Linked DNA regions of Rhinolophus ferrumequinum. The protein of the gene in region 1 purifies or fractionates together with the protein of each later gene. This does not show direct contact. Links are inferred from orthologs where the notes say so. Each region holds a gene or a part of one and is shown on either strand. Other genes may lie near its edges. The genes, in order: WDR48 and PHLPP1.

What was found.
Region 2: the proteins of WDR48 (region 1) and PHLPP1 purify together in Homo sapiens (affinity purification with mass spectrometry; 5 studies listed by BioGRID and IntAct, with this or other methods). This does not show direct contact. The link is inferred for Rhinolophus ferrumequinum from reciprocal best matches to the Homo sapiens genes WDR48 and PHLPP1.

The regions. Positions count from the first base shown.
Region 1 is NC_046300.1:13,613,323-13,629,913, reverse strand, and holds the start of WDR48 (WD repeat-containing protein 48), read left to right. Parts: upstream 1-9,020; 5' UTR 9,021-9,042; coding exon 9,043-9,090; intron 9,091-16,591. UniProt on the Homo sapiens protein: Regulator of deubiquitinating complexes, which acts as a strong activator of USP1, USP12 and USP46. Enhances the USP1-mediated deubiquitination of FANCD2; USP1 being almost inactive by itself.
Region 2 is NC_046302.1:50,039,932-50,056,540, reverse strand, and holds the start of PHLPP1 (PH domain leucine-rich repeat-containing protein phosphatase 1), read right to left. Parts: upstream 8,004-16,609; 5' UTR 7,668-8,003; coding exon 6,110-7,667; intron 1-6,109. UniProt on the Homo sapiens protein: Protein phosphatase involved in regulation of Akt and PKC signaling.

The DNA.
Region 1 (16,591 bases):
ACCTTGTATTTTCTGCAATGCTTGATTTATATATTTCGTTGTTTTATTATTTGTCACACTAAGGTTTATAAAAGGTTTCCTTTTATTTTTCTTGAAAAAACTGGTATATGCTCATGGCAAAAATAAAGAAAAATCAAGCAGTATATAAAGGTATACAGTGAAAAATAAATTTCCCTTTCATCTCAGATTCCCAACTTTTCGTTCCTTTCTCCAGTGTCAGCCACAAACACCAATTTCTTTTATCTCCACTGAGGAATAGTCAAGGTGGATGTGAACATATATATATATAGATATACACATGTACATATACTTGGATGTCCTATTTTTATGTATCATTGGGAGCCCCGTATTTTACACTCTGTTAGATTCCTTGCATTTATCACTTAAATTTTGTACAGAAAATTGCTCCAATGGAACACTGCACTGTAGCACACCCTATATCATTACCGATTCTTTTTCTAGGAGAGTTATTTTATAATCTTGTAAATTATAGATTGATAGCAATGCAAAATAATTCCTATCTATTTACATGCAAATCAATTGTAAGGTAGAAAAACCAGTCTTGCCCCCATTTGCACATTCGTTTCACCATTCCTTTACCCCACGTGAATTTGTGCTTCTTTGATTTCTCCTTTGAACCAGTTATGACTTTAATATGTGTCCATTTTGTATCTACAGATATAAAGTAAAAAAAACTTTACTTTTTCCCCCCATAATTATCCTTTAGAGTGTTTAGCAAACAGGTTGAGCATACAATTCATTGGATGTGAGGAAAAAACCCAACTTCATTTTTGTCTCGCATTCTCCTGTGTGAATAACTGTCTGGATGTATCAATCACTTGTTTGATCTGTCCCAGTCATTGGCTTCAGCAATGCTTCAATAAATATTCTTTTACGTGTGTTTTTAAGTTAAATGCGATTACGCTTTTAGGATGGATTTCTAAAAGAGGAACTGCTAAATCACTCTCCAAAGAGATTACACCAATTTACCCACCCACTAAGAGTGTATATAATGATGGGTTTTCCACAGTGTCGGAATACTGTACATTATCAAACTTTTAGATCTTTTCCAATCTGGTAGGTGAAAAATGGAAGCTTATTTAAATATGCATTTCCTTCACTACGAATGAGATCAAGCACATTTTCAGACAATATAAGCCATTAATTTTCTTTTCCTGTAAACTGCTTCGTTATGTCCATTGTCCATTGTTTTCCTATTGTGTATTTCTCATTTGGTATTTTTTATATTAACTTGTAAGCTCCCCTCCTATATTAAGGAAATTGGCCCTTTGTCATGTGTGTTGCAAATATATTTTCCCATAGTACGGCTAGGGCAACTATGAAGAAATGGTGCGAAGCAAGCATAGCACAACTCGGTAGTTTCAGAATATAACTGTGTTTAGACAGGCTGCATCTCTCACATCTCCTCCTGCCCTCCAGATGGGACTGACTTGTTACCTTTTCATTCACAGCAGCTCAGCACTGAAGATCTAACTGGAGTGCAAGAAAAAGGGTGCATTGAAGAGTCACCATGGAAACTGCCCCTCCCACAGCATTTACCATTCAAAGGCTTCTGCAGGCATTCATGTACAACAAATTAGCAAAGAAAGATTTCTAGACACACAACCCTAATTTGAATGCAGTTTGAAGGTGCTTAGAGGCATAAAGAATGCCTGTGGTTTCTGTAGGCAGATTACTAGGAAAAGAATTATCTTCAGCTCCAGCTTCTGTGGAGGATAATTGGTTGAGACATTAGAGCATATTTTGTTTTTGCTGCAATTTTCCTTCCTTCCTCACCTTCTGCTGGTGGTTGCCGGTCCACAGTGCTTGCTGATCTCAGGAGTGGTTTATAGTACTGGGCCTTACGCAGAAGCTGCTTAATAAATACCTCTGATCTTGCCTTTAGTGAGAGGCCAAGCTCACTGAAGTTGAGCTATGAATCTGGGTGGGAAAAGGTGTGCAAAAGACAGATCCATTGTTTTTGGAGGGCAGAGAAGAAGGCAGTGAAAGCAGGAGGAGGTTCTGCAAAGAGTAAAGACCTGTGACTATTGTTGAAAGCATTCAGATTGGTGACAGAACCTGGGCAACAATGGCAGATGATCGTAGGGAAGTGGGGCCCTAGACACTGGGATTTCCAGCTGTAACCAAAAAGCCCAGTCCCAAAGGAAGAAAAGACCAGAGGCCTGGCCACTTTCAAAGGACACTGGGTATCTCTGCCCTAACCACTGTGGCCTCAGAACTGTTGGTGCTTCCAGTAGGTACATGACCCCTTAGGGAGGACTAGGGTGGCCAGGGGAGTCTTAATAATGACTGGAGTTGCCTTTTCAACCATTGTGGCTGGCTAAGAGCTCAACATTATAATTAATTTTAACAATCTACTATGACACCTTTACATATCAGAGTTTATGGAATAAGATTCACACCCACTTCACTTTTCTGAATGAGTATTTTAGGAAGCCTCAGTCAGCTCAGCTCTTGTACAGAAATCCCACCACAAAAAAAGTACTACATGTATGATGTAGCTTTCATATTTTTCCCCACTTAGTAAACGCTTACAAATGCATACATTTTCCTTTATTTTCTTTTATTTTCACAATAAATTATGGCTTTTTATGGGAGCAAATAGGTTTCCTGAAAAGGCACTTTGATTATGACATTTTATCAGCAGGAAATAAGTATGAAGCATCTTAAGATCTGACTTGTCACATTTGAGTCAGAAAGGCTCCCAATCAGGGATGGGCTGAATGGTTCTCTACTGCCCCCCAGTGTATAAGCTACACAGAGGCGGACACATTTTTGGAATGGAAAAGGGACTGACTGGTGTGTATTTCTCATACTTGCACGTAAGAAAAAAATAGAAAGCCATAAAAACAACTAACGGCTATTCCCCCGCCCCCAGTGTGTTCAGAAATAAGTGCCCTGTTGAATGATGATTCGTTTAGTACCATGCCTTTTAAGACTGTATTTAAACCTGAGGATTTGCTGACAAGGCATAAAATAGCACATAAACACTTCGGACATAAACACTTTAAGCACTGTGAGTCTCTGTATTTATTACTTATGTCATCTTGCTTTACTAATGCATACTTATTTAATTATAGTCTTGTAGCCTATTCTATAACACCCTTCTTAGTAAAGAATCATTAAAGTAATAAGGAAATAATATAGCTTCTCCATTTCTCCGCATGAATCTGATTGATATCATGACAGGCTTGCATGAAAAAGTTTATTTAGCACTCTGCATTACCTCCAAGAAGCTTAAAATACTCTTCTTTTCAAAATTCATCTTTAAAATATCCAAATTAATGCATGAAGTATCAGCAGATAATAGTAGCTGCAAACCAAGGCTCTACATGGTTTTGTGTTTGTAAACACATTTTTAGAGCATTAATTCCTCTTGAACAATGAAAACAAAACAAAAAAACCAAAACATTCATGTGTCCCCCTGGTAATGACAATTCTGGGCTATGGTGCAAAGACACACCTGGTTACCTTCACTTTGTTCAGTAAATGGAGTGATCATCATGAGCCAGAAAACGTGTGTTTAAGCATGAGGACGATCTGTAAAAAGGCCTTCTCATTTCACAAATCTTTTTCCAGGCTGTTGAGAAGAAGAGAGGAGGCAAGAATAAAAGATTAAAATGTCAAGCTGATTTGGAAAATCTTTACAAGTAAGAGACCCCATAGTACATAAAACTTATGAGACAATCTACCTTAGGAAGTTACAATGTTTTGGCAATGCTGTTACAACACTTGGGCAATGTTTCCCCAGCAAGGTGATGATTAAAAATAATACCTAAAATACAGTGAAGATTTCCTACATGCCAGGTACTGTGCTAAGGTTATTTCATTTACCTTCATAAGAACTAGAGGAGATAGGTACCGTTGTTATTCCACTTTACAGATACAGAAACTGAAGTTAATGACTTGCTCAAATAACTGGCAGAGGGAAGGACCAACCTCCAGAGCAAGACTAAACAAGAACAAATTTGGTTTATTTGGAACTAGAAGCCTTCTAGGACTCTTATTTACTTATTGTATGAATTCTTTTCAGGATGCGAAAGTTTTCATGGTGTCTAGGGCTTTAATCAGAGGTCTCAAAATCTGAGAACAATATATTAATAATAGATGTCAGGCCTGCTGACATTTTGAGTAGAGATGCCAATCTTCCATTGTAGGAAATGCTAAGGAATTGATGAAGGAATTCTGCCAGGATAAGCCTCGTGGCAGTTACACAGAAAAGACAGTTAAATGAAGATTATCTTTGTAGAATTGTGAAGCTGCTGTGACATTTCCCGTCCTCGTGGGGAAGGGAGGATGTATTAGTTATCTACTGCAGTATAACGAATTTCCCATAACCAGGACCCTTAAAACAACAAACATTTATTATCTCACACAGTTCCCATAGATCAGGAATTTGGGAGAAGTTCTGCTGAATGGTGCTGGCACAGAGTTTCTCATAAAGTTACAGTCAAGATGCCATTTTATTAATCAAGCTAAAGTCACATCCACACACTCTTGCTGTAAGAAGTCTAAAAAAAAAGTGAGTAACTGTCTTTCTCACTTTAAGTAAGCAGTACTCACCATCACCGAAACACACATCGTGGGGAATTCCTCAAACTCAGAAAGAGAACTCAGATGGTGGGCAGCAGAAAATAAAACCACAAAAATCTCAAATGCAGTCATCCCTTTGGCTGCCCAACACCAATATACCCACTGCTTTCAATGCTTATCCATCAAGAGTTGTCACTTAAAATACTGCAACTATCCTTCAAACAATCAAAGATGTATTCACTCTGTCACCCTCCAAGGGAGTCAACCCAGTGTTTCATCAATTACCCCATTCATCCATCCACTTCTAAGTCCAAAACGTCTAGTTGATATCCATTTCTCTGCAACTTACGGACTAAATAATGAAATTTACAAGGAATAGCACACCCTACAGACAATAGTGAAATAAAGGGTTAAAAAAAGTTAAAACCCATAAAAGTATACATGATACATCAATAAAAGAAATACCAATAAAGATGACAGCTCTCATTTCTTCCCCTGATCATGAGGACTTCACTTTCATTTATGATTTCCTTTCTCCACCAGCCACTCTGTGTTCCTTTATCTTCAACCAATACCTTCGTTTCTAAGGGATCTGAGTGTTTGATGGACCTGTCTGCTTATACCAGCAAACCTATTTCTGCTTGATACTCAGGGTTAATCACTTCCACCAATACCATGTCCTTCTTCTCTTGCCTATCCAGTGACATAAGACAGGCAACATAGTTAGATAGCAGTTTCATCTCCAAATCAATGGAAATGTTCAGGCTTTGTTGGAAGAATTCCTTTCTTTGGTAACAAACCTCTAAACCAGCAAAGCCCAGAATTTCAAAGAATAGCAGTTAAAAACATTTTAAGTTGGAGTCATTAGGTATATTCCTTTGTTCCTAAATCCATTCATTTTGCCTATGGAAGTGTGGTAGTTTTAAAAACATATCCACAAATTCTTTGACACTTTTCCCATTTAAGAAAATGGAATCTCCTTAGATATAACCAGCCTTAGCGATTAAGCCTTAATGAACTAAATGTGGTTTAAAGTGACACTGCAGGATTTCCACTGCTACTTTAGAAAAAGCATTAATTACAGTTTCCACCCGAATTTCTCTCCGTGGGGAGGCTCGCCCTTGGAACCCATGCACTACTGTGTAAATAACCAAACAGCACAGTGGAAAACCCATGAGTAGATGTTCTGGCCATAAATTCAGCATCGGTCACCAGACATACGAAGGAGTGGGCCTTTAGATGGTCCCAGCCCCCCAATTTTAGCTGCCCCAACTGAATCAAGTGGAAAGTGGAACATAGACAAGCTGTCCCCTAATTGGTGAGCCCTGCACCAATTAGATTTGTAAGCAAAGTAGATGTTGTAGTTGTTTTAAACCGGTAAGTTTTGCGTGGTGATGCAGCAATAGATAAGCACAGGGAGAAAGCGTGCCAAACACTGGACACTGGTTCAAAGCATATACTGCATCCTGTAAGACAGCATCAAAAAGGGTTATCTCCCAGAAGGCACCATAACTAAGTCTTCAATTAAGACCAGGTGCTTCTTGGTGATAGAATACACAATTAGACCAATGAATTCTACAAGCAATAGCCCACAGAGTTGCTTTCATTACAGAGTGAGTTTGTTGATCAGAAGCAATATGGTGTGAAACACAGTAACAGTATATGACACATCCCCTAAGTCCCCGATGGTGGTGCTGACAGAAGCACAGCAAGCGGGGAAAGGAAATCTAAGTCTAGAGTAAGTGTATTTCAGAGGCCAAATAACTACCCCCTCCACGATCGGGAAGGGCCAATGGAATCGACTTGCCTCCAAGTGGTTGGCTGATCCTCCCGGAGCTTGGGGTATATCACCAACTCAGGACTGGCCACTGTTGCTGGCAAGCTGAACACTCAGCAGTGGCTTGGTGATGCCACGCATAGCTCCAATCCTGCTATTATTGCCATTTCATTCATGATTGCACTGAGCCTGGATAAGGAGGCTGAGTTTCATCTAAGAGCAGTTCATGTCATCTGTTCAATAAATTCTTAATTCTTAAGATGTATTCTGCAAGGTCGAGGATATCCCTTCCTGAGTCTTTCCTGTCACTAGTCCTCCAATCTTTCTCTTTCCATGTCCTGAACCAACTGGCCAAACAATTAGGCTTGGACCATTAATTATTACCCAAGGCCATCTCTCCTTCAGGTAAAGTGAACTTCAAGACATACTGCTAGATATTCTGCCCACTGAAAAGACCACAACTTCAATGCTCTTCAGGTGCAAAGTGGGACCACAACAACCTAAGCATCCATTTCTGGCAGGTACCAGCATATTGTGCAGGGCAACATGCCTGCCTGGTGCCTGGTACATCATGGGTGTGCAATGGATATGTGTTGAATTATTGTTTCTAATGCAGATCAAATGCTTCTCCTGCTTAAATCCTTTCAACAGGTTCCCATTGATCTAAAAGACCCAGCTGTGTGTGGTCTCTGCATACTCCTTCCCCTTCTCTGTACTCTAGGCTTGGTCCTCAATTCCTGGAATGTTCCAAGCTCCCTCCTGCCACAAATCTTTGCTCAGACTGTTCCTTTTCATTGTCTAGTTAACTCCATCCTCAGATCTTTTCTTTTTTTTTTTTAAAGATTTTATTGGGGAAGGGGAACAGGACTTTATTGGGGAACAGTGTGTTTTTCCCAGGACCCATCAGCTCCAAGTCAAGTTGTCCTTTCTTAGTTGTGGAGGGCGCAGCTCAGCTCCAAGTCCAGTTGCGGTTGTTCAATCTTAGTTGCAGGGGGCGCAGCCCACCACCATCCCTTGCAGGAGTGGAACCGGCAACCTTGAGGTTGAGAGGACGCGCTCCAACCAACTGAGCCATCCAGCTGCCTGGGAGCTCCGTGGCAGCTCAGCGGCAGCTCGTTGTTGTCTTCATTCTAGTTGCGGAGGGCACAGCTTGTTGGCCCATGTGGGAATCGAACTGGCAACCCTGATGCCCAGAGCTCACGCTCTAACCAACTGAGCCACCCGTCTGCCCCGATTCTCAGATTTTGACTCAAGAATCGTTTCCTATCTTATAAATGTCTTTCTTCACTGTATTTATCTCCATATTCATTTATATGCATAATCAAGTTATGTCTTACCCTGGAACTCTAAGTTCTATGGTTATATACAGTCACTACTGATCCCCAGCACCTAATATAGTACCTAGTACTTAACAAGTGCTAAATAATATTTGTCAAATAAATTAATACACGAAAAATGAATGTATCTGTAATAAAATGCAGTATGGGTCATTTATCTACAAGTTATCACCGCCAGTTTTGCTTAAGAAGCTTTATGCCTCCAGTTTCTACGACTCTTAATTCATATTTCTTTATTAATTTAGAAAGGCATTTGTCTAGACAAGAACTTTCCTAAGCATTATTTCTTTATTAGCACTATGCAAAAAAAGTGACTATATATGTAACTTTAAATATACTAAGAGCCACATTATAAAACACAAAAATATAATTTTAATATTTTAACCTAATATAGCCAAAACATTATTTCAAGATGTAATCAAGCTGAAAATTATTCAGGTATTTTACATTCTTTTCTTTGTACTAAGTCTTTGAAATTAGGTGGTCATTTTAGTTTCATCACATCTCAATTTGAACTAGCATATATGTCAAGTGCTCAAGAGCCACACATGAAACAGTGCAGTTCTATAGGGTTCCCTTTCACAAGGGAGTCTGACAAAAAAAAAAAAACAAAAAAAAAAAAAACAAAAAACAAAAAAAAACAAGGGAGTCTGACTATCCTCAGCACCAATAATTAGTGTCAGGAAAACTTCAAGTCAAACCTTCACCCAGAAGGGCTAATTGCCCTAGTATAAGATTCTAGAGTGAGCACAACTCCTTCAGGATCTGCAACTTAGAAAGTTGTCTCTGAGAACAATTTTAACCAGTGTTAAAGGATGTTGCCTTCCTAACGTCCTTTTATTTCTTATTTAAATACATACTTTGATGCTCCTTGAAGATGGGGGCCGCCTCCTTTCCAAACACTTCTATTTCTCCGAGACCAGTTTATAATTTTCTGCATTTTGGGATATGTCATGGAAAACCTGTCAGTTCCCTTGGCTGCCTAGGGAAGTTGGGGGTGTGGGAAATCCGTGCCAGCCGCCCGTGTCCAGCATTATTAAATCTTTCAGCGCTTCCCTTAAGCCTGCTTGGGCCTCTGGAATTGGCATCCCAGACAGAGAACAGTGCAAGCCAGGGTTGAGGGGCACACAGAGTTGGATTCGGATTGCTCCCTCGGCTCAAAACTGGCTCTGCCAGCATTACACGCACGCAACCATTTTTCGGTGCTCCTCCCTCACCCCAGGGCCACCGGCCATAGCCACACACTGCAGTCGGGCAGCCCCCGACCAGCACGCCCTCCGCCTACCCACCTGCCCTTGGCCTAAGAGGAAGAGGCGGGACATCCGCCCGGACCTAGCTGCTTCCAGAAGTGACGTCGGAGTGTCAACATGCAAGATGGCGGCCCATCACCGGCAGAACACGGCGGGGCGGAGGAAAGTGCAGGTATGGGAGCCCGGCTCCTCGCCCTCGCGGACGTGGCTGGCAGCTCCGGGCCCACCTCCAGCGAGCAGACGGCGCGGGCCGCGGTGGGCCGGGGTGGCGGCTGGGGGCGAGTGGGACGGGGCGCGGCCGGCGGCGAGGGGTGGGGCCGCGGCGCTAACGGCTGGACGAAGGGGCCGGGGGCTCCGGGCTGGGCCCGCAGCGGGCCCCGCGAGTGCTCGCTTCGGAGCTTGCGGCTGCCGGTCGCCCGCTTTCTCGTGGGCTTGGGCCGGCGGGGAGAGGATTGGCTCGTTCCCCGCCCACCTGCCTTCCCCTGCCCTGCCCTTCCCTCCCCTCCCCCGGAGCGCTCAGCCCCAGCCGCGTCGGAGCGGAGGCCTCCGAGCGCGTTCCCCGTGGGCAGGCGGCGAAGGAGACCGTGGGCCTGTGCGGGGGCGTGGCGGGCGGCGGAGTGCGGACCGCCCTGCGGGTTTTCTGCGGGGATTCTGCATAAAAAACGTCCCCTGCCTTTTTTTTTATGCGGGCGCTTTCCCCGTGGTGTGGTGGAAACGACGTGACAGTGTGCCAGCGTTAGTGGGGAGAATATCATTTTTGTTTCGGAATTTCATTTCGCCTTCCCCATTTCTTCATCTTCGATGTGCATCCATGATTCTTCTTTCCTATTTCTGTAGTTTATTATCCAAGGGTAAAAGGTTATCTAACCCTTCCGTGGGTGCTTTATGCCTTCGTGAATCCGCTTTTGTTTTGGGTACTTTTAAGAGTACCTATTATTTTAAGCGATGCAAAGAGTGAGTAGAAGCCCTGTATTACAGGTGTTTGCCTGCAGGTATATGGTACTACGTACCTTATACCTTATTTAGTAAACATTACTAAGCACTTCGTTTGGTCCCAAAAATGTGCAAAGAATTGACAGTATAGGAATAAGTAGCCACCAGGCTTTCTTTATAAAAACAGCATTATATGGGGTCTGACAATTAAGTTCACAAATTTGTTGCAAAGATGTTGCTAACCTTTTTTGGTGTCAAAAGGATTATTCATTATGAATTTGTACCAACTGGACAAACAGTTAACCGAGGTTACTATTTGGAAGTGCTGACAAGGCTTGCGTGTAAAAGACGGCTTGAACTTTTTGCCAATAATTCATGGCTTTTGCATCATGTCAACGCATCCACCAGCTCACACTGCACTATCTGTGAGGGAGTTTTTAGCCAGTAAACAAATAACTGTACTGCACCGTCCTCCCTATTCACCTGATCTGGCCCCCAATGACTTCTTTCTTTACCCGAAGATAAAGGAAATATTGAAAGGAAGACATTTTGATGACATTCAGGAACTCAAGGGTAATACGATGACAGCTCTGATGGCCATTCCAGAAAAAGAGTTTCAAAATTGCTCTGAAGGGTGGACTAGGCACTTGGCATTGGTGCATAGCTTCCCAGGGGGAGTACTTCAAAGGTAACCATAGTTCAGCAGTGAGCTGAACTTTCTCTAGGATGCCCTTTTTCTAGGATGAGTTCGCGAACTTAATTGTCAGACGTCATATATATGTAGTTCTACAAGTTGAAATCTGAGTGTTTAATACCATGTTTTCCCGAAAATGAGACCTAGCCGGACAATCAGCTCTAATGTGTCTTTTGGAGCAAAAATTAATATAAGACCAGATCTTATGTAATAATATAGTATAACATATGATACCGGGTGTTATATTAATTTTTGCTCCAAAAGACGCTTTAGAGCTGATTGTCCAGCGAGGTGTTATTTTTGGGGAAACAGGGTAGGACAAAGGCTTTCTTCAGTAAGATACCACAGCAAATTGCTATAAGCCGTAGTCTTCTGGGCAGTTCACTTCTTTGTTTTATTGATTTCTTTGGTAAGTACAGTGTCCTGAGCATTCAGTAGATGCTTGCTGAATTGAGTGAAATTAATAAAAATCTACAATACCTTACCCTGTTAGGTGACTTTTAAGTGCATCAGTGACAGGATTTAAGTAACCCCAGCATGCAGGCCAGGTAGTGAGAATGTCTGCTCCTGACTAAAGTGTAACTCAAAATTGTAATTTAATTGTATTCTAGATACCAGAGCGATACACTTCTTAGGGTAGTAAGGAGAGTTAATTACAAGAAAGTTAATCAGTTTCTTGTATTTAGACTTAAAAGAATATAAAAGTATAGGACAGGGAAAATGTAAGTTAACTGCAGTGTGTGTGGAAAAACTGAGTGTTTTAATAAGCTGAATGTGAGCCATGGCATGTAGAATGAGGGAGATGATAATTCCACGATTCACTGGTCAGAGCACAAAACTAGAGTTTGAGGTTAACACTTATCACTTTGTCCTAATAAAGTATAGCAGTCGATTGCCAAAGTCGCTTGAAGCCACTTCCTATGAAGAACATTCAGAAGAACTAAGACTAGCCTGCAGAAGAGAAGGTTCGGTAACTCTTTTTAGCTGCTTTCAGAATTTGTCCCCAGGGTCTAGAAACCAATGTGAGAAGCCACAGAGATTGATTTTATCTCAACATGAGGGAGAACTTTTGTTGATGGAAGTGTTTTTTAAACTAGTGCATGTTCATTGCAAACAAGCCACAAATAACGCCCATCAATAGACAATTGGATACAGAGGATGTGGCACGTGGCATGTACCGGGGTGCCAAAAAAATGTATACACATGACTTGTATTCATCTTTTATAATCAGTATATATTGAGTATTACAATTTTAATACAGTATTTTCCTTTCTTAAAATGTGTATACTTTTTTTGGCACCTTCTGTATATATAATGGAATATTACTCAGCCATAAAAAAGAATGAAATCTGCCCATCTGCAATAACATGGATGGACCCAGAGGGTATTATGCTAAGTGAAATAAGTCAGAGAAAGACAAATACCATATGATCTCACTTATATGTGGAATCTAAAGAATAGAGTGAACGAACAAACAAAACAGAAACAGACTCATATGCCTAGGTAGAGAACAAACTGAGGGTTGCCAGATGGGAGGGGGGCTGGGGTGACTGGGTGAAAAAGGTGAAGGCATTAAGAAGTACAAATTAGTAGTTACAAAATAGTCATGGAGATGTAAAGTACAGTACAGGGAGTATAGTCAGTAATATTGTAATAACTGTACATCCAGGTGGGTGCTAGACTAATCGGGGGGAATCACTTTGTAAATTATATAAATGTCTAATTACTATGCTGTACACCTGAAACTAATATAAAATAATATTGAATGTCAACTGTAATTGAAAAGTAAAATAAAATTTAATTAAAAAGCAAGATATTAAGACAATACAACGTTTAAAAAAAAACCCCACAAACAATACAAAACTGTAAATGATAATTGTCCTCCACTCTTCAAAAAAAGCTACTGTGGACAGTGTGATATATAATCCTAAACCAGGGTTTGTCACCCTGGGCACTGTTGACATCTCGGGCCAGATCATTCTTCATTGGGGTGGGATAGGGATTGTTTTGCATCATCCTGGCTTCTACCCTCTAGCTGTTAGCATCTTCCCAGTTGTGACAGCCAAAAATGACTAGACGTTTTCAAATGTCCCTGGAGGGCAAAATTGACGCTGGTTGAAAACCAGTGTTCTATAACTCTTTGTGCATATGTACCCAACTTGCGTGATTTTTTACTCTAAATAAAGTCATAGTACTCATTTTGTGTTTTGGTGCTTGTCAAAATTTTAAATGTATATTATTACCTTTGACCCAGCTAGTCCCCATTTAAAAATTGTTTTACAAAAGTACACGTGTATATATCTTTCTCTAGTTATGCAAGGGTGCTTGTAGGAATGCGTCATTGTGAAAAAACAAAAATCTATCCATCAGTAGTCAATTGGCAGATCAGTTAGGCATGTTCATGTAGTGGACTAATTTGCAGTTGTTACAAAGACAAGCTACATCTGTATTATTTAGAAGGAAAAGTGTCCAGAAGTCAAAACAACAAGTCAACGTAGCATAGTCCCATTTCCACAAAGGAAATAATGCATTTAAAAAGTCTGGAAGGATATTAACAGTTATTATCTCTGGGGTATTAGATTATGTGATTATGGGTAAGACAGGAAATGGGATATCTTTAACATATATGAACCTTTATATTTTTGAACTTTTTACAACATTCTTTACTCTTATAAATTAAAAAAAAAAAACCTTTCCATTTTGGAAAAGTATATGTGGCTACATAAATACGTTTTGCCTTTTGGCTGTCTGTGTCTTGTACCAAGAGGCAGTAGTCCTGTGCTCCATGACCAAATTTATAGGTCAAAAGAACCCTTGAGACATAATATTGATAAATAACCAGCGGAGAGGGATCCAAACATACTGTTTATTAATTATGGACATAATGAAGAATGAGCACATGTCCACTATCTTCAACTTCTAAGGAGACTGGAGATGAGTTTGAGGGGGAGGGAAGGGTTTGTGATCGTCAGATTATACGATCAGACAATCCAATTTGTGAATTCCGATGTATGATACAACAATTTTCCTGGTAATCAAGATACCAAAGCAAGTCTTTTCACTCAATGCTGGTTCTTTAGTGTTACTATTTTCCAGCAACCTGAATCTGTTGGTTGGCTCTCTGTCTCCATCTTTCCTTCAACTGTGTCTTCTCTTGTTTACTTCAGAATTCTTGGGGTGATATTGGACAAAAGTCACCAGTATTTCTGGTTTAGGAGCAACAGCCATGCCCTAGTACTCAGTGGTGGTTCAAGAATATAAATACTTGGCCTTTTGTAACAGAAGGATTCTTTGGTTGGAAAAGAACCAAAATCCAGCTTACCCAGGCTCACATAATAAAACACTGTATTAGTTAATGTAAATAAACTGTAGAGGTAGTGCTAGTGTCATGCAAAGTTTGAATCAGAGGGCCCACTAAGAAGTGCTTTCAAGTCAGTTTTATGTTGGGCTGCCTACAAGGTGTCCTCTCCTATTCCCAAGCTTCCAGCTCCAGGTCTTCCCTCTGGGTGGCACGGTGGCTGCACCTACCCCAGATCTCGAGTCCTTTCACAGCGCTGCCCAATGTAACAGAGGGTCTTTTATGCAGCCCTGTGGTGGGATTTGCTTGCCTTAAGCAAATGTTGGGAGCAGAAGTGAGGAATGGAGAGGCAGCCAACAAATGTCTGTTCTACCAGTACTTCCCTCCTTACCCTGCCAAATATTTAGTTATTCTAGACCTATTCAGAACTCAGTGTGTTCCTTACTCCTGATTCTGAGTCCTGATTCTGGGTGGGTTGGTTCGTTGGTTGGTTGGTTAAATCTTTGATACTGTTTTTAAGGACGTAGAATGATGCCAAATCCTGACTTCCCAAGGAAAGACCCTTACAAATTAGCCATATGTCCAAGGTGAGTTACTTTTTATTTAGGATGAGTAATTAAAAATGCGGTACCAATGCGACCTCCATTAGAACAGGGTTCAGCAAACTTTTTCTCTAAAGGGCCGAATAGTAAATATTTTAGGTTTTGCAGGCCATTGTACTGCTCATAACCACTTAACTCTGCCATTATAACAAGAAAGAAGCCGCAACAATACCTAAATGAATAGGTGTGGCTGTGTTCCCATAAAACTTTGTTTACAAAACAGGATTTGGCCCATGGACAGTTTTTTACTAACCCCTGGAGGAGATTTTACTAAGCCCTTACTAGAAGTCAGGCTAGGTGTCCTATTTTTATTTGCAAGACTGCTTTTCAGAATACTTTTTAAAATTAACACTCTAGAAATAGAGGTTCTCACAGAAAGTCTTGGTCCACAAGATTAAGCAGGAAAAACAGATGTGAGAATTATTGATATTTGGACAATTTTTCTGGGCTTGATTTAGCTTGATAGCTGGAAGTAGCCTTACACAAAAGAGCTGTGTGATTGCTTTTATAGGATGTTACAGAACAGGCAAAAACTAATCTTTGGTGAAAACAGTCAGATCTAGATTGCCTAGGAGTGGAGTGTAGGCGTCGGGAAGAGGATGAGGCAACTTTCTCGAGTGGTGATAATGATGATGCTCGGTGTATCTTGGTCAGGGTTGGTTTGTGTTACGCTGGTACATTCGTTTGTCAGAAGGATCTATGTACACTTCGATTTGTACATTTCACTCTGTAAATTTTACCTTTACTAATGAGCCATAATAAATAATGAACTCTAGTTAATGCTATCCATACCGAAGTATTTAAGGGGATGTGTTATTAGTGATAATGTAACTTACTTTGACGGGTAGATGGATATGAGATAAAGCAAATACAGAAAATGTTAATACTAGAATATATGTAGTAAGTATATGGGTGTTTGCTGTGTAATTCTTTCAACTTTTGTATGTGTTTTAAAATTTTCATGGTAAAATGTTGGGGAAAAAGAAGCTTTTAAAGGTTAAACAATGGTTAAGTAATGATAAGCAGCAGAAGATGGGGAAGTGAAATGTTGGTTGCAGTGGCCAGAGAAGGCCTTGCTGAGAGGCTGGCTTTTGAGTAAGGATCTGAAGGAAACAAGGAAATGAGATTAGCGTCTGGGGAAGAGCATTCCAATGAGAATGTCAGCTGCAGAAGTCCTGAGGTGGGGACGTACCCGGCCTATTTGTGGCATCTTTATGCCTTTGTGGTTGGCATGGAGTGAGTGAGGGGAAGAGGAAGCAGGAGGAGGTGAAATCAGAGAGGTGACTGCAGACTAGATCACGTTGAGCCTGCAGGTCATGGTGAGGTCTCGGGCTTTGCCCCTGGAGTGAGATGGGAAACGGTGGTGGGCTTTCACAAAGGAATATACATGACATACCCGTACGTGTGTTTTAATAAGATCACCTGGGCTTCTGTATTTAGAAGAGACTGCAAGTGAGCAAGGGCAGAGCCGCGAGACCAGTGGCTATTCAAGAAATCCAGGTGCTACATGATAGTGGCTTCCCCGGGTGGTGAGAGGTGGTTGAATTTTGAATGACAAGACTTGTTGACAAGATAGAGATGGGAGAAACTAAAGTAAGAATGGCACCAAGGTTTGGGCCTGAGCAGCTGGGAGAATGGAGTTGCCATTAACTCCATCAGTGAAGAAGACAACAGGGAAAGCGAGTTTGGAGCAGAAGCCGGGAGCTGGGCTTGGGATGTGCCATGATTAAGATGTCTGTCAGACATCCAAGAGCAGGTGAGATAATGCCCCCCTTGGGGGAGCCTGGACAGATTGCCTGAGTGGCCCCTCTGTGAGCCTGACACGCTTCTGTTCTTAAAAACACTGTGAATTTGGTACTTATTCCATAATATGTCCACATCTGTGTTCATATAAAAATTGTTTTAGTTACTGTAGTAGGTGGAATGCCTCCCCACAAACCCTAATTCCTGGACCTTGTAAACATGTTGTTACATGATGAAAAGGATTTTGCAGGTATGATTAAGGTTACAGACTTTAAAACGGGGATTATCCTGGATTATCCCAGTGGGTCCAATCTAATCATATGAGCCCTTGAAAGCAGAGAACTTTCTCCAGCTGGAGGCAGAAGTCAGAGATTTGAGGCATGACAGGGACCGCCTGTTGTAG
Region 2 (16,609 bases), on another chromosome or scaffold:
GTCTGTTTTTTGTTAAACTATTGACATGTACAAACTCATAAAATATATACAATCTACAAATAATTTCCCCTGTTTCCAATAGAACTTCTAGGTTCCAAACTCAGAGGCCACTGGACTTGTACCTCAACAGCACACTTCACCATTAAATACATTTGACAATGTATTAAAGCAATCTCAAATGTAAAAATGCAACAGGGAAACAATTATGTCAGCATGAATGTGGTATTACGCATGGGATGATTATGCCTTGTTTCATTTAACATACTAAAAGGTATACCAGGATATGTATTTTATACTTATATAATATATAAACAAAACCATTCCACCTCTAAATCAAAGTGTAATAACACTTCAGTAATCCAGTAATTGTTATGCTTGATTCTAAAGTACATCACACAACTTGAAAGAGCTGTTATTTCATAGTTAACCCAAATCCTAAATGTTCTTTAATAAAAGTATCATTAAAGTCTGTTCTTTCCAGATCCTTGAGTTTCAATTTATTCAAATTTTCCAAAGCATAGAGTTGAAGTTTCATACAAATCCAAACACAACCAGTCACACAGACTGAGGTTATAAGTATCTTATTTGTCTAAAGAATCCACAGGGTCGATTTTGGGGTTTTGTTTTAATTATACTATCTTTAGAAAACCAAAGGTAAGTATAAAAAGGGTTTGCCCTAGAAGCACAGGAACATGAGGCCAGATTCAAACCCCTCATTACCACTGTTGTACCAGATGTCTGGGATTAAAGGAGTGGAGGTTTTAGAAGGTGGGAGTTTTAAAAAAGGCTTCATTTTCCCAGACTGTTCTGGACATTTTGATAACAATTTCTCTCTTTTTCAAAATGTCAGGAGTCTTTAAAGGAAAAGCTTTTCTATTGAGTGGCTTCAGGATCTCTCGATTTTCACAGCACAACAATTAAACCCTTCTCCTGTCCAGATAGACCGAACTGTGTTCAACCCTGGCACATAAAATCATTGAATCTAAGATGCCTCATTTGACAGATGCCTCATTAAATTCATCTCAAAGTTGAGATAAGAAATGCCTTTGAAAAGGGAGGGGGTGACACATGTTAACTCTAAGAAAACTTTGAGAACTGCTCTCTCAAAATCTACATGCAGCTTCACTCACGTGAAATAAAGTTATTAATAGTACTATGCGGCACATCTGAAATCTGCTGCCATGGGAGAAATGCCTCTGTGCATGTGTGTTTAATACTTCTCTGGGGACCCAAACAGCATGGGAGGCTAAAGAATCAGGGCACATACCACCAGCTGCTTAACAAAATTCCACAAATTCAATTCAACAAATGTTTAAACTAAAATGCCAAGTATTATGCTAGGCTTGGATCATATACAACGTCAATGAATGTTATGTTACCAATAAATCAAATTCAGGGTTCCAAAAAGAGAGTAAGAAACATCAAAAACACTGTACACTTTAAAAATAATAATCTTTGGATAACCAATCATTGGTTTAACTTTCTTATAGCAACAAAAAGATAAAACTTTCAACACAGAAACTTTACAAACTCATTTATACACATCTCCTCTCCTCACAATTATTTCAATGAGCACAAAAGACACACCATTTTAAGAATAACTATGAAATTCAGGGAGAATAGCTGACTCTAGTTCTATATAACATATGAATTATAAAAACTACACAACTGCAGAGTAACACCAAAAAAGCAGTATTGATCACTAAAGTACAAATAATTCTATTTTAAAATAAAAGGTTTAAGCAAAACTTTCAATACTTTACAAGTACAGCTATGTCTTAAAGAAACTGAATCGTCACACCACCACCCTCAAAAGTTATCCACTTTTTAGATGAAGTGTTAATTCTCTATACCCAATAAAGATTTATAGTTTAACAAATGAGGCGTGCTTGAATAAGAAAATAAAGAATCATTAGGTAAACTTTATTTCAGATCAACTTAACAAGTATGACTATTTGCAACCAGGATATTTAGAACACTTTAGTACTCCTTCTGTACTATTTATTTGCCAGTCTTGGTTTTTTACGTTTTTAAAGGCAGCATGATAAAAATAGAAACATCCACATTTCACAATGAATACCACTTTGGACTAGAGGATACTATCACCTCATTACCAACAAAAATAGCGTATTTGCTGAATGCTTTTAACCAAGTGAAAATTCAAGTGTAAATGAAATTCAGCACCAATTCATGGAAAGTGATAAGAATTGAAAAACTGAATATCCAAGTTCTCTATTCTCAACTCCGTCAAGGACTGAAAAACCACAAGCAAGAGTCAAACCTTTCTATGCATCAGTTTCTCCTTCTGAAAAAAGGAATGACAGACTCCTCCCTAACCATGTTTTTGAAAGGACAAGTGAGATAATTTATGTGAAAACCCTTTAAGATTTTTGAAGAAAATAAACCCCAACATATTAACAGATGTTATCAAACCACAGTTATGAAGGAAAAGACAGCATGCATTTTACATAAAAAACAACAAATATAAAATTTAAATATAAAAAGCAACAAAAATAAAGTTAAACCTTTTGTTCTTAAAATCAGAAGGACTGTTCAGGCACACACTGGTGTCACATGTTCATACCACGTTATTCAATACTGCTGTAATTATAGTAATAAGAGCCGGCTCGTCAATATTACAGCTTAATGCTGAACCACCCCTTCTTGGTTTCCATGTAGGAAACCATGTAAGGTTTGATCATTCCCAGAAGGGAAAAAGAGAGGAAATATGAGAGGGGTAAGGAGATCATTCTGAGCAATCCCAATAAGTCACACATAAAAACATCTTGTCCAAGATTCACTAGGCACAATGGGTGTGCTCTCCATTCTGTCATCATGCTTTCCACACTACTAAAATTTGAACTGAAATACCTGGACTACTAAATCTAAAAGGTGGCAGGAAGTCAACAATATAAAAAAATAGAGCTTAATACTGCACTTGATCAATGACAAAACACAAGCTCATTAATGTTTTGAAGTCCATACCTTATGTCAATTAACCTAAATTCTTGAACTTTTTTAACCTAAAACTACTCTAAGGTAAAATGTAAGATGGCTGATTTTAAAAGGACATCCGATGCTAATGTACGTACTATACTTAAGGAACGTCAGGAAAAACCATTTAAATTTTTTCATCTCTTCAATCACCTAAAAGAATTATTGTTTGATAGGCGCAATAACAATTTTCAAACCAAATTTTGATTCGCATCATTGTAATTAGTACTTTTTGTCCAACACCTGCTAGTGCATTAAGGACTTTCCTTTCACTTTCCCCAAATAAATATATTTAAGTATTCAAAGCAACCACAAATGGCTTTCAAAGCCTTTTAAGAATAATTTGAGTCAGGTAATCAACAGCAAACTTTAATTGAAAGGTGACCCTCAAGAGAATGAAAGTTCTCGGCTAAACACCAACTTCTCAAAAAAACACAGCTGACTAGACAAACTACATAGACATCCGATAACAAGTTCAAGTTAAATACAGGAAGGTATTCAAAAGGCAGCTTCCTAATCTATCCTTAATTCCAAGCACATGTATAAACAAAAAGATATGCAGCAATAAATTTAAGAGTAAGTTACATGTAAAATGATAAAAACATATGTGGTATACAAAAGGGTGTCATCTAAAACAAACATTAATTCTCTTCTTCCTCAGGAAAATCATTACTACCAAAATGTAACACTTTCCAGTTGGGTGTCCTACATTCCATTGCAGTACACGGATAATTTCTAGGAAATCTACTCCAGCTTGGTGCAAACTTCCACTACATGTGAAGTCCTGACAATGGTTCCATAGTAAGTGACACAACCTTATAGCAAGGCCTTTTTGTTCATCAATAACTAAACTTCCTGGGAAAGTTCTTTTTCCCTCAATTTTGTTCTATAGCAAATGAATATCAACAAAGAGACATTTGATATTAACCTATTCATACAGGCTTAAAACAAGCTCAACTTTGTATAAAAAAACAAAATAAGCAATCAGACATCTTTATAATAATCAGGCATCTTCCTTCTAGGACACCTACCTGTACCCTGCCTTCATCTTCGAGAACAGGTTGGATACTGTGTGTGGCTTCATATTAAGTATTTTTATGAGCATATACACAGAGGCATGTAAATATTTATGTTGTGTATACAGAAATAAAGCAAGTAAGTTCAGAATGAAGTAACAATTACTGCTATTCATAAAAAACAAAAAAAAGATTAAAATGACCACACCAGAAATTTAAGATTTAACCAGAAAGATACTTTGCCACTTTTATATTGAGATGTTAAAAACTGTATATCATTCACTTAGAATATTTTAGATACACTTGAAGAGACAATCAAGGGGAATCAAAGATTTAAATTTCATGACCATGACACCCAAAACTTTCCTATTAGCATTTATCATGATAAACATATCTAGTGGTGAGGAAAACAGGGGATACAGAGCTCTTTCCATATAAAATATGTCCAATACTGTTAAATGTGTGTGTATATATATATATATATATATACATATATATATATATATATACACATTTCCTTCCATGAATTAAGTCTGGTTATGAGGGTATTTATCACTTCAATGTTAACAAAATATTCCCATTCCATGTGTGATTATCATTTAATGCTTTTGTAATTTTACAAATTAGATGAGCTGTAGGAGAAAAGGATAGAGTTGTTGCTCCTACATAAAAAACAAAATCACCTATTTCCTAGACCATAAACTTTTAAAGGCATGTCATCCAGTTGGGATACCATCTTCAAATGAAACTGCAAATGCTATTGTATTATGATATGGTTTTCTTTATAAGGCAAAACTCCATCAGAAATCCACCTGAATTACAGAAAAACTTCAGTGAAATTCAGAGGAACATCTCATCAGGAATGCTATTTATTTGTCTTGCATATTTCAATGTGGGAGTAAAGATTTCTTCATTCAAACTGACTACACTGCCACTAGGACATAAGTTGGACCAAGAACATACTAAATAGAAAGAATGGGTACAGATTAATTACAAGTGTGATTATTTTTCCACTATCACCTACAACCTAGAATAGTAAAGTTGGGGAAGATACAACTCTGATTTATTTTGTTATGCTACCTTTATAAAATTCCTTATAACTAATAACATAATTCTTGAAACCAGAGGGAGAAAGGATGTAACCAACTTATAAAGCTCAAATATAACAACCAGAATCTATAGCTCCCTAATTATGCACCAGCCAAATCTCTCATCCAAGAGAACATTATTCACCCCAGTCAAGAATTTGATCTGTCAATTGTATCTCAAAAAAATCTGGAATAAAGAATAGAATTTTTTAAAAAATTTTAATCTAGAACTGAAAAAGAACGAGGACTTTAGATCACATTTCAAGAGATAGCACTTAAAGTCTTACTGTGATTCCCCATTGTAAATCACACTACAATGGTCAGTTCTGGCTATAAAGACTGAACGTGAGAAACAAAATAGGCAAAATCACTTTTGATGCAAGAATCAAACTTGGAGAGGAAATTGTAATAAAGCAAAAAAGCGCTGGGAAAAAGTTATCTAAAAAGGATCCTATCTGTTAGGTCTCTAACGAGGGGTAAGTGGGCAAATAAGCATGACAAAGAGAGCTGAACGTGCACCAATTTGACAAGTAAGGAGCTGGGGGGGGGGCAGTATTAGGGTTAGGAGGGCAGTCAAGTGTAGGGAGAGTGTTCTAGAGCGTTTTTGTTAGCCATTTTCCTCTATCGGTATTAAGTACACGTGATAGTTTACCTGAAATCCCCAACTGCCCTGAGGGAGGCCTGAGGGCAGCAGGTTCATTGTTGAAGGTACTACTGCCTCTTGAATACCTGCTTCCTGTACTTCCCGGGGGTTCTACCAACCCCTCCCAACCTCTGAGTTGCTTCCCAACCTGAGTCCCTCAAGACTGACCAAACGATCGGCACGAATAATTGCTCAGTTGAGTATTACACAGATCACCCGTGAAAACTGTAAAGTCACAAACACTGCCTAGGACCTGCGACTATTCTGGGGTCGGGCCAACAGACCGCCCACCTGACTCCCACCTCTGAACATGATGAGTTGACACTTTTCACCCCCCCTCCCCGGCCAAGTCCAGGTGATTTCCTTACCTGCGTAGAAGCGGATAAGGCAGCCAATCTCTGAGTCCATGCCTTCCTCCTGCACCCTCCATAACTCCCCAAAGCCCAGCTGGAAGAGGTAGTCATTTTGAATCTGCAAAGGCTTCTCGTCCGCCTCCAGGCGCCGGGTGGTCTCTCCGTGGAGCTGCACGTACAAGGTGGGCGGCGGAGGCGCCTTCTCCGCGGTCGCCGGGTTCCCACCCGGGGGGAGCTGGGGGCGGCCAGGGGCCGCGGCTGCTGCCTCCTTTTCCTCCCGAGGCCAATCGCGGGCAGCCCCGTCCGGGCCGTCGACGAGCCTCTGGGCTTTTGGCTGCGGCAGAGGCGGGGAGGCCGTCGGGGAAGGCGGCCGGGCGCCTGCTCCGGCCCGGGGCTGCACTGAGCGGCCGGGCAGGCGGGGCTGGCCCGGAACTCCCGGCGCGGCTGGATCGGCCTCGAGCTCCTCGGACGACGACGAAGAGCCACCGCCGCTGCTATAGGGGTCCAGCCGGTCCGACACGCTCTCGACGCTGGGGCTCAGGCTGAAGCTCTCGGTATCCGAAGCCCGGCCCGCGGCCGCGCTGTCCAGGGGCCGCGCGGCGCCTGGCTCACCCGGGCTGGAGTCCGAGGGCGCGGGGCTGGCGCGGGAGGAGCCGAGCGCCCACCCGCCGGGGTCACCGGGCAGCGGCAGGTCGGCAGGAGGCGCGCGCGGCGGGGCCCCGACGGCGGCCAGCGCGCTGTTCCGGGGGGGCGGCCGCAGGTCCCGCGGCTCGCCGGGTGCGAGCCGGGGGCCGGCATCGGGGGGCCCCTTGCCCAGCACCTTCACCACGCCGCCGCCTTTGTGGCCCACCTGCAGCAGGCGGGCGGCCACCTCGCCGGCCGTGGTGTCCAGTGTGCAGAGCACCGGGCGCAGGTAGGTCGAGGCCATGTGGCGATCGAAGACGTGCAGGCAGCCGCGCTGGAGCTGGTGCCTCACCCAGTCCCGGTCCGACGGCTGCAGCTGCAGCATCTGCCGGTGCTTCAGGAGCAGCGTCTTCCTGTCCAGGCTCCGGGTGCACAGCGACGCCGAGGCCGAGCAGGAGGCGGAGAGGCCGGCGCTGCCGGGGGAGTGCGAGGCGGCAGCGGCCGAGGACGACGACGACGACGAGGAGGACGACGACGACGAGGCGGCAGCAGTTGAGGACAGATTCCTCTTCAGCCTCCCTCTCCTCAGCAGGAGGGAGTTGGCGCCGCTGCCGGCCCCGGACACCGGGGCAGCCCCGCCGGCGGTGGGCTGGGGCGCGCCGCGCCTCCTCCTGCGACCGGTGCCTCCCACTCTGCCCGGCAGCGGCCCCGGCTGCGCCTCGCGGGGGGCCTCTTCCCGCGCCCCGGTGCTCGGGGCCGCCGGGGTCAGCGCGGGCTCTGGGCTCCGGCCGTCCCCGGCCGCCGCCGCCGCCAGAGCTGCCGCGGCCGCCGCTGCCGCCGCCGCCGCTGCCGCCGCCGCTGCCGCTGCGGCCGCCGCCGGAGCCGGAGCTCGGTCCTCCCTGCTGGTTTCTGGGAGTCGCTGCGCCGTAGACGCGGCGGCGGGCTCCATTGCAGTGGGGCTCCGAGCTTCCCCCCCAGCTCCGGAGGCAGCGGGCAGAGAGGGAGGCGGTGAGGCGAAGGTGGGAGACGGCGGCGGTGGCGCGGGGAGAAGGGAGAAGCCAATGGCGTTCGGCGCGGCCGTTCCAGGGGATTATGTGGCAATTCGGAGCATTCCGTCGGTGTCTCGGTGTTCCATCCCGCGCGCCCGCCTCGCCGCCACCGCCCCCCCTCTCAACACGCCCTCCCCGCCCGGGTCGAGGGCTCCCGCGCACAGGCCCCGCCCGCTCCCACACCTCACGCCAGCGAACCAGCCGCGAGGCTGGGCTCATTGAATATTAATCACGCGCCGGGAGCGGGAAGGCGGGAGGCGGACAGGGCGGGAGCTCCACGTGAGCCTTATGAATATGCATTGCTAGCATGACGGCATTCCTGGGAGGAGTGGGGAGAGCTGGAGGTCGGAGGGGAGGCGGGGCTTCAGAGTAAACAAACTGACGCGTGCGTACGAGGGCGGGGCGGGGGAGCCGTTTCCCCCGAGGTTCCAGCGCGGGCCTCACAGAAGGGGAGGCCGACAAAAGAGGCGTGCGGTGCACTCTGGGAGTTGTAGTGCTAGTGCGGAGACGGTCATGCTCAAGGGAAACAGGGCGAACTACAAGCCCCAGAGATCCTTACGTTGTGCCCCTCCTTGCATCCAGCACCTGGCAGTGGACAGTGCGTATTGTGCCCTCTACTGTTGAACACTGTGCCGGGAATGTTCTTGTTGATTAACTTGTACCCAACTCTCCCACTCCCGCTTCCCATAAGAGTTTCGTTTTCCCTACTAATTGAAATTAAGGACTTTGAGGGACTCAAAATGGCACAAAAATCCCCGGTTCGTGACCCTCACCTCCACCCGTTGTATGGGATACAAATACCCACAGCACCACTGGATAACTGGCAATCAAAGTAAGCCAATTTCACTTTTTCCCTACTTTTTCAAGGTCAAGGGAGACTGGAAGTGTCTGGAAATACTAACTTGGACAATTGCTGAATGTGCTTGGTGGAAGTCGTGCAACCCGGAGCTGATCTTCTTCCATGCCTATATCTAAAAAGGAAAAGGGCAAAGGGCAGGGCTCTCATTTTTTTCCCATTGATCTTAAAGTTTGGAGTAACTTAATGACACAGAAAGCACTGGAAAGTAATAGCAACGTTGGAAAGGAGACATTAGTGGGATACGAGATGGGCTGTTCCTGTGTGTTCCCTCCTATGTCATCCCTTGTTGTTTCTTTCAACATTCAGAAAAAAAGTTCTACTGTTACAATGTTTAGTTGTGTTTTGAAAAGTTGCACTTTCTTGTCAGTTAAAACAATACTGTAGACTAGAGTAGGGTAGCTTACTATTTAAAAGAATTTAGTAAACCTTTTTAATTGAGTTACCGTTCCCCCATATTGTTTTATAAATCTGGATTTTCACATGTGAGACTTTTTCAACCGTATACTATCCAGGGCCTGCCTTAACTTCAGTGAAATTCCTAAACTTTGGTGGGGGAAGGAGAAAGAGAAATCAACTGGAACTTGCAGCTGACATAACAAAAATTAAGGGCAAGGAAAGTTGTACTTAGGTTATCTACACAGTTTTGCTGAAGAGGGATTAAGGAAGCTACCAGGACAAAAATAAATACATATCTCGCTTGATTCTTGAAATTCCTGAGAATGATTTTCTGTATTTTTCTTTTGAAGTCTTACCTCTTGGCCTCATGAAACTAATTTTATTCCGTTTCAATTCAATCAACAGTTTTATTTTTTAAATTAGGGAGAATGCAAATTCTCCTAAGAGAGATAAGACAGTCAAGTCAATTAACTTAACAAATAATTATAAACATATTGTATACCAGTCACCACTGTGTTACAGCAATTGAATGAATCAGACACTGTCCCTGCCGTTTTCTGGATTTTTCTTTTTTTTTTTTTTTTTAAGGATGAAAGCATGAGCTCAAGATCAAGGTAGCCCAGGGGGAAAATTAGGGAACTAGTACATACCATACAACTCTTTCAAAGAATTTTGCTGTACAAGAGGGAGCTGTGAGTTGAGGAAGGGTTTTAATTCAATATGGAGGAAAGTATACTATGTTGAAAGCTGATAAAAATGATATAATTAGGTAGAAAAACTGATGATACAGGATGAGAAAGGAGAATAAAAAATATCTTCAATAAGTGAAAGGAGATGGGATTTAGTGCTTAAGTAGAGGGATTAGAATGCTGGAGCACAGATAGGTTATCCAACAAAGACAGGAAAGGAAGAATATATGAACACTGGTGCTAGAACGTAGGTAAGTGTAGTGGAGACAATTTTTGAAACGTCTCTTCTGATTCTATCTTCTGTTAAGTAGGAAGCATGGTCAACAGCTGTGAGCAAGGATTGTGGAGGAAGTGCTGAAGGTTTGAAGAGATAGGAGGAAATGTGAGATAGTCCCCTAGGAGAGAATAATCAGAGAAACTAAAAGGATAAGTAATCAGCCTAGATACAAGAAATAGTGAGCAAATTTACTGGTAAACATGTAGATAAATCTAAATATTATCTGTATAAAAATTTTTAACGCTCAGTTTGTAGAGTTGAAAAAAAAAGACAGAAATAAAATGCTGGACAATAACTGCTTAAACATAAGGAGGAAGTAACTGAAGTTAAAATGTTCTAGGGCCCTCTTACCACTGGGAGGTTCAGCTATTAATGTTACATTTTGTTAAGTACACAAGTAAAATTTTGAGAGTAACCACTAAAAGAAAAGAACGAAAGTGCCAACTTCCAAACTAATAAAGGAGATAAAACAAAATAAGAAGAAACAAATACTACTGTATTTCCCCCAAAATAAGACTGGGTCTTATATTAATTTTTGCTCCAAAAGATGCATTAGGGTGTATTTTCAGGGGATGTCTTATTTTTTTCATGTACAGCAATCTACATTTATTCAAATACAGTCATGTCATCTTCTTCTGGAACATCATCATAACGTACTAAATGCATCCGTCTAGTTGACAGTCTTAACTGGGGCTTATTTTCGGGGTAGATCTTGTTTTCAGGGAAACACGGTACTCCTGAAACTAATGTAAAATAATACTGGGAAAAAAAAGAACAAGCAAATACTCAACCCCCAAAGAAAGGGCACAAAGAGAGGGGGAAAAAAGCATAGAAATAACAGTAGCAATGGAAACTGGAGGAGATAAATAAGACCAGCTGTCAATAATCACCACAAACATAAGTGGACTAAACTTGCCAGTTAGAGTTAAAAGACAGAAATGGTCAAGTTTTTGTTAAAAAAGAAACAAACAAAAATGAACTTTATGTTTACAAGAGCACCTAAAACAGAAGGACTTAACAAAAGCTGAAAATAAAATGATTGAAAAAATATATACCATGTCCTTGCCTTTGTATACAGCTTACAGATTAGAAAGAAAGAGTCAACAAGTGAGAGGGATGTAGGGAAGGGGAAAGACCAGGTGCCGGGGGAAGAGACAAAAATAAAGCAAGGGGAACTGACCTAGTCTAGGAAGTCAGACAATAGAGACCTACCTTTGGATGAAATCATCTGGAACAACTGAAACTGAATACTTGCTGAAGGATCAGTCTTCAAAAGAAAGCAAGGAGGCAGAGAAAGAGATAATGACGTTGAAGTTCAATTTCAACTGCACTAATCTATATGGTGTCTTGAGTAGTCCCTAACACAATTAGTTCTAGAAATGAAACGAATGGTATTTTAATTTAGCCTCCCTTTAATAAGATCGAAAAACAAAGAGCATGTTAAATTTCAGTACAAAAACTCTTTACATTCCTTAGTTCCTTAGTTAATTTCCTACAAACCCATTTAATTTTCGATCTATTAAGAAATGTGTATTGGGCAGCCGGTTGGCTCAGTTGGTTAGAGCACAATGCTCATAATACCAAGGTCGCTGGTTCGATTCCCACATGGGCCAGTGAGCTGCGCCTTCCACAGCTAGAGTGAAAACAATGACTTGACCTGGAGCTGGTGGGTCCTGGAAAAACACACTGTTCGCCAATATTGCCTCATATAAATTAAAAAAAAAAATCTGTATTACCTCCCATATACCTGCTTTCTAGAGTTATATTTCTTTAGCTAATATAACTAAAGGCAAGTTTGTTTTAATCATAAATACTGTCACCATTGGCCCAATGTCCATTTGCATACTCTCTAAGAAATTATAGTGCTGTACTTAATCTAGCTCTGGTTCTTGTCATTTAGCTTTACACACAATCACCAGGACTCTGCCTTTTTATCCTCTAGGAATTTTGTTTACTCTTTGAAGGTATTTATAACCAAAACACCTCCTCCAAGAGGAAAATTTTTTAAAGAAAAAGCATTGCTCAGAAAATTTAGTACCCAAAGTATTGGGGAGAGAACGAGGGGATGGGACTTCATCATACATACCTGCCAGACTTGGTATGAGGGATTATTAAATTGGGAGGAGGAGGGGAATAATGAATAATGTTAAAGTATTTCAACATGAAGACAAAGGAAATACATTCCAGCCTCAAAGAAAGAGTGAGTTGGGGGCATGGGGCAGGGGAAAGAATGTAGAATATAATTTCTACATAAAGAAACTATTTCATACATAGTATTCATAACCTTAAAGACACCATATTCCATTGTACTCAGAATAATGAAAATAGGAGTTGAGAAGAAAGCAGAAAAGCAAAAATCTACAATATGATCCATTCCTTGTTCCACCTCCAAACCTTTCATAAAGTTACTCAACGTGGGGATGAAAGGGGAGAGAGAAAATGAGAGTTCGTAAAGAATAGGCAGTGCCCTTAACACCACATCAACTGGAACCTTGTAGTTGAAATAACAGACATTGATAAGGGCAATGAAACTTGTGCTTAGAGCTTACTAGTATCATGAAACATCATCCAGACCATCTGAGCCAACCTACACTACACAATCTTTTTGAATAAGAAAAGGATTTCAGGACAGGCCAAGTGTTTTTCAGACACCCGTGAAATAGCTTCTCCTACTTAAAAGTAGAGTGAGTATCCTGAAACCACCGTGACTCCTAGAGGCTTCCCCCCCACACCCTTTAAAGTGTTTCACATGTACAATACCACATTTTTCTGACTAGCCACACTTTTCAAAGAAACACATCTTAAAATGCTAAAAGATAATCCTGACAAGAAACAACAGATGTAAAAGTTGCAAACCCTGATGCCAACTTGTTAAAATATTTTCACAGCTAAGTGGAGAAAAAGAGAACATAATTTTCAATTTACTGCCACAGTTTATTTTACGCTGTGTGATTTATAACTGACTTGCTGTGTTGTGCATCTAGGTTAATCCTGTTTGCATCCTTAGATCCAAGATAAAAGAAACTATCTTTGGAATTTTTTTCCTAATATGAGCAGTTGGAATTTTAATGGAGGCAAGACTTGATAGCTGGGATGCTTTCAGTCTGAATTATTAAGGTCTCAGCTGTGTCCAGAAATAAATGCAGAAAGATGCAATATACAATGTAATACATTTAGTTAGTACATTATGAACAAGGAATCTAATTATAGTTTCACATTTTTATATCCCTTGAGCTACTAGTGGTTTACCATGCCTAAATTGCTCACTATTTACTCATTCTTTTTTACTAGGAAGAACCCATTTAGCAAATTACTGCTCTAGTGAACTAAATGAGCCCCAGGTGGCCACACAATTCCTATGTTCCCTGCTCACTGGCAGGATGAGACTTTCTGGGTTCTCTAAAGCCTTACCCCTCCCTCACAAGAACTCTATCAAGAATTTAGATCGCCACTATCACTTTAGGTAGCCCACTTCATCAATACCGCTTGACAGCTTCTCAGATTGTAGTGTACCCTTTTTAATCCCGTAATCCTTTGTCTTTCTCTTGTTTCTCACATCCTGCCTCGTAGAAATAGACGTGTTATATGTCACAAACAGTGTAGTATTAGACCAACAAATAAAGACCATGTAATTCCACCACTTCTGGTAACAATATAAATTACTTGAGACTCATTCAACAAGTATTCATTGAACTGTTATGTGTAGGCACCATTTACCCCCAGAAAATAGAATAGACAAAAATACCTGTCCTGGGGAAGCTTATGTATAGGCATTGTCATTTTTTAAATATCTTCAGTTAAAATTGACCTTCTCTCTTATTTTGTATAGACGTCTCACCTTAGACAAATGGGATATATGAAAATCTAGATATATAAATTATGTATTAGAGTATTAATATTTCTTCCCAAACTATTCTTTATTCTTTCTCTTACATATGAGTTCATTATACAATTGCTTTAAATACTGGGCTCCTATAATATTAATACATTTATAATACATTAATTAAAAAAATCATTTATACCTCACTTTTCAGAAACCCATTTTTGGTTCTAACAAGTGCCTAACACCTCTTTCTATCGAGATTCATATCTAACAAAAATCTTTCCTACATCATCTCAAAGCATTTCCCCTGAATCTTCCATGACTAAAAGTAGAAATATAGCCTCCAGATAATGATCCCCTATATTTATAGTCATTAATTTATACCCTGAAGAAGCAGTGTAGGTCCTTTCTTTCTTTTTTTTTTTTTGCCCCAAATGGAGAGATTACAGGAGACACAGCCAATCCCTAGAAGTTTTGCCCTTTCCCCTTTTACTCCCTCTACACCCACTGGTCTGAACTCTTAGATACACTGTATTACTTAGGGCATCTGTAACAAAGTACTGTGAACTGGGTGGCTCAAAACAACAGAAGTGTATTCTCTCACAGTTCTGGAGGCTAAAAATACAAAATCAAGGTGTTGGCAGGGCCATGCTCCCTCTGAAGGCTGGGGGCGGGGGCAGGGTGGGCGTGGAGGCAGGGGTGGCAAGGGATGAGTGGAGATGGACACTTTCTTACCTCTTCCAGCTTCTGGTAGCTGACAGCATTCCTTGTCTTGGAGCTTTATCACTCCAATCTCTACCTTCTGGTATCTGTCCTCACATGGCCTTCTCCCTGTGTCTCTGTGACCAAATACCCCTCTTATAAGGATACCAGTCATTGGAAGAGGGCCCACTCTAATCCAGTATGACCTCATCTTAACTCGATTGCATCTGCAAAGACCTTATTTCCAAATAAGGTCACATTCTGAGGTTCCAGGTGGATGTGAATTTTGGGAGGACACTCTAGTATAATAGGTGTTTCGCATCGCTCCTCAGGAGTGACAATCTGAAATTTATCAGACTTCTACATTTCAGGGATTAACAAAATTCTCTCCCCATTCCCCCCGCCCCCAAAAAATTGGTGACTAAACTAGGTTTATTAACATTTTACTCATCCATTTCAATATTTATTCTGTTCTATGTCAGTCACTACGCTAGGAACTGAGTATATGAGAGTGAATAAAACAGTTGTAAGCACTGCCCTCAAAAATATTTTTAAACTATAAATACCATAAAAATACTATTAAAGAAAGTACATTTTAACACAAAAAAGTAGGAAAGACAGATCTTAGCATAAACGGTAGTCCCTTTAAATTGAACAAAGTTAACTTTATAACTTTATGAAAAACTCCTTTCCTTGTCCTTTTTCTTTTCTCATGTTACCACAGATCAAGAAAAATACCAAACCAGTACCAGGTCTCAGACTGATATTTGGGAATTACAGGACTAGAGCTTTTGCTGTCTCTAGCGCTCTTCCATTCTATAGCCAGAAATCAATGGTGATGGTCAATACAGAGCTGTGACTTTCAAAAATTTAACAAGTTACAACCACCTATTGCCATATGGATCATAATATTACCAAAAATGACCACTGCATCAATACCATAGAATATGTGTAATCTTACCTTACCTCTGTGATAAAAATGGGATGAAATCAAGCAAAGGGGCTCAGGCTTAGGTGGGTATATTAATAAGTTGGTTTAAAGATGATGACAATGGCAGAATAACATTCTCAGTCTTCTACACATTCCCTAGTTTGAAAGGTGGCTCTTTGTACTATTTCGGGGGAGTTGAATCCTACACAAGGTTGGAAGCCAGAAGTCCTCACTGTATAATAGTCCTGGTGCTGTACTAACTAGTGAAGTATGACCTTGGGAAGACATTTGACCTCCAGGAGGCTTCAGTTACTGATTTATGAAATGAAGGGGTTGAACTAGATAGTGTCCCTAAAATCTCTTCCAGCTCAGAAGATATTTCATGAAAATGGAAACAACAACAAAAATCTGGGGTAGCAATACTCATACCAGACAAAATAGACTTTAAAACAAAGGCTATAACAAGAGACAATGAAGGACCAAGTAATTCCATTTCTATATATTTTTCCAAAGAAATCCAAAACTCTAATTTGAAAAGACATGTCCATATGTTCATTGCAGCATTATTTACAATAGCCAAGATATGGAAGCAATCTACATGTCCATCAATGGATGAATGGATAAAGAAGAGGTGGTACATATATACAATGGAATATTACTCAGCCATAAAAAAGAACGAAATCTTGCATCTGCAGCAACATGGATGGACCTAAGGGTATCATGCTGAGGGGATTAAGTCAGACAGAAAGAGACAAATGCCATATGATTTCACTTATATGTGGAACCTAAAAGCAAACAAACAAACAAAACAGAAACAAACTCATGGATACAGAGAACATTTTGATGGTTGCCAGATGGGAGGGGGATTGAGGGAATGGGTGAAAAAGAGGAAGGGATTAAGAAGTGCAAATTGGTAGTTACAAAATAGTCATGGGGATGTAAAGTATAGAATAGGGAATAAAGTCAGTAATATTGTAATAACCGTGTATGGCGTCAGATGGCTACTAGGTTTATTAGGGTGATGACTTCGTAAGTTATATAAATGTCTAATCACTGGGTTGTACACCTGAAACTAATATAATATTGCATGTCAACTGTAATTGAAAAATAAAAAGATTATTTAAAAAAATAAATAAAATATCCTCCAGCGCAGGGCCGACCCAGT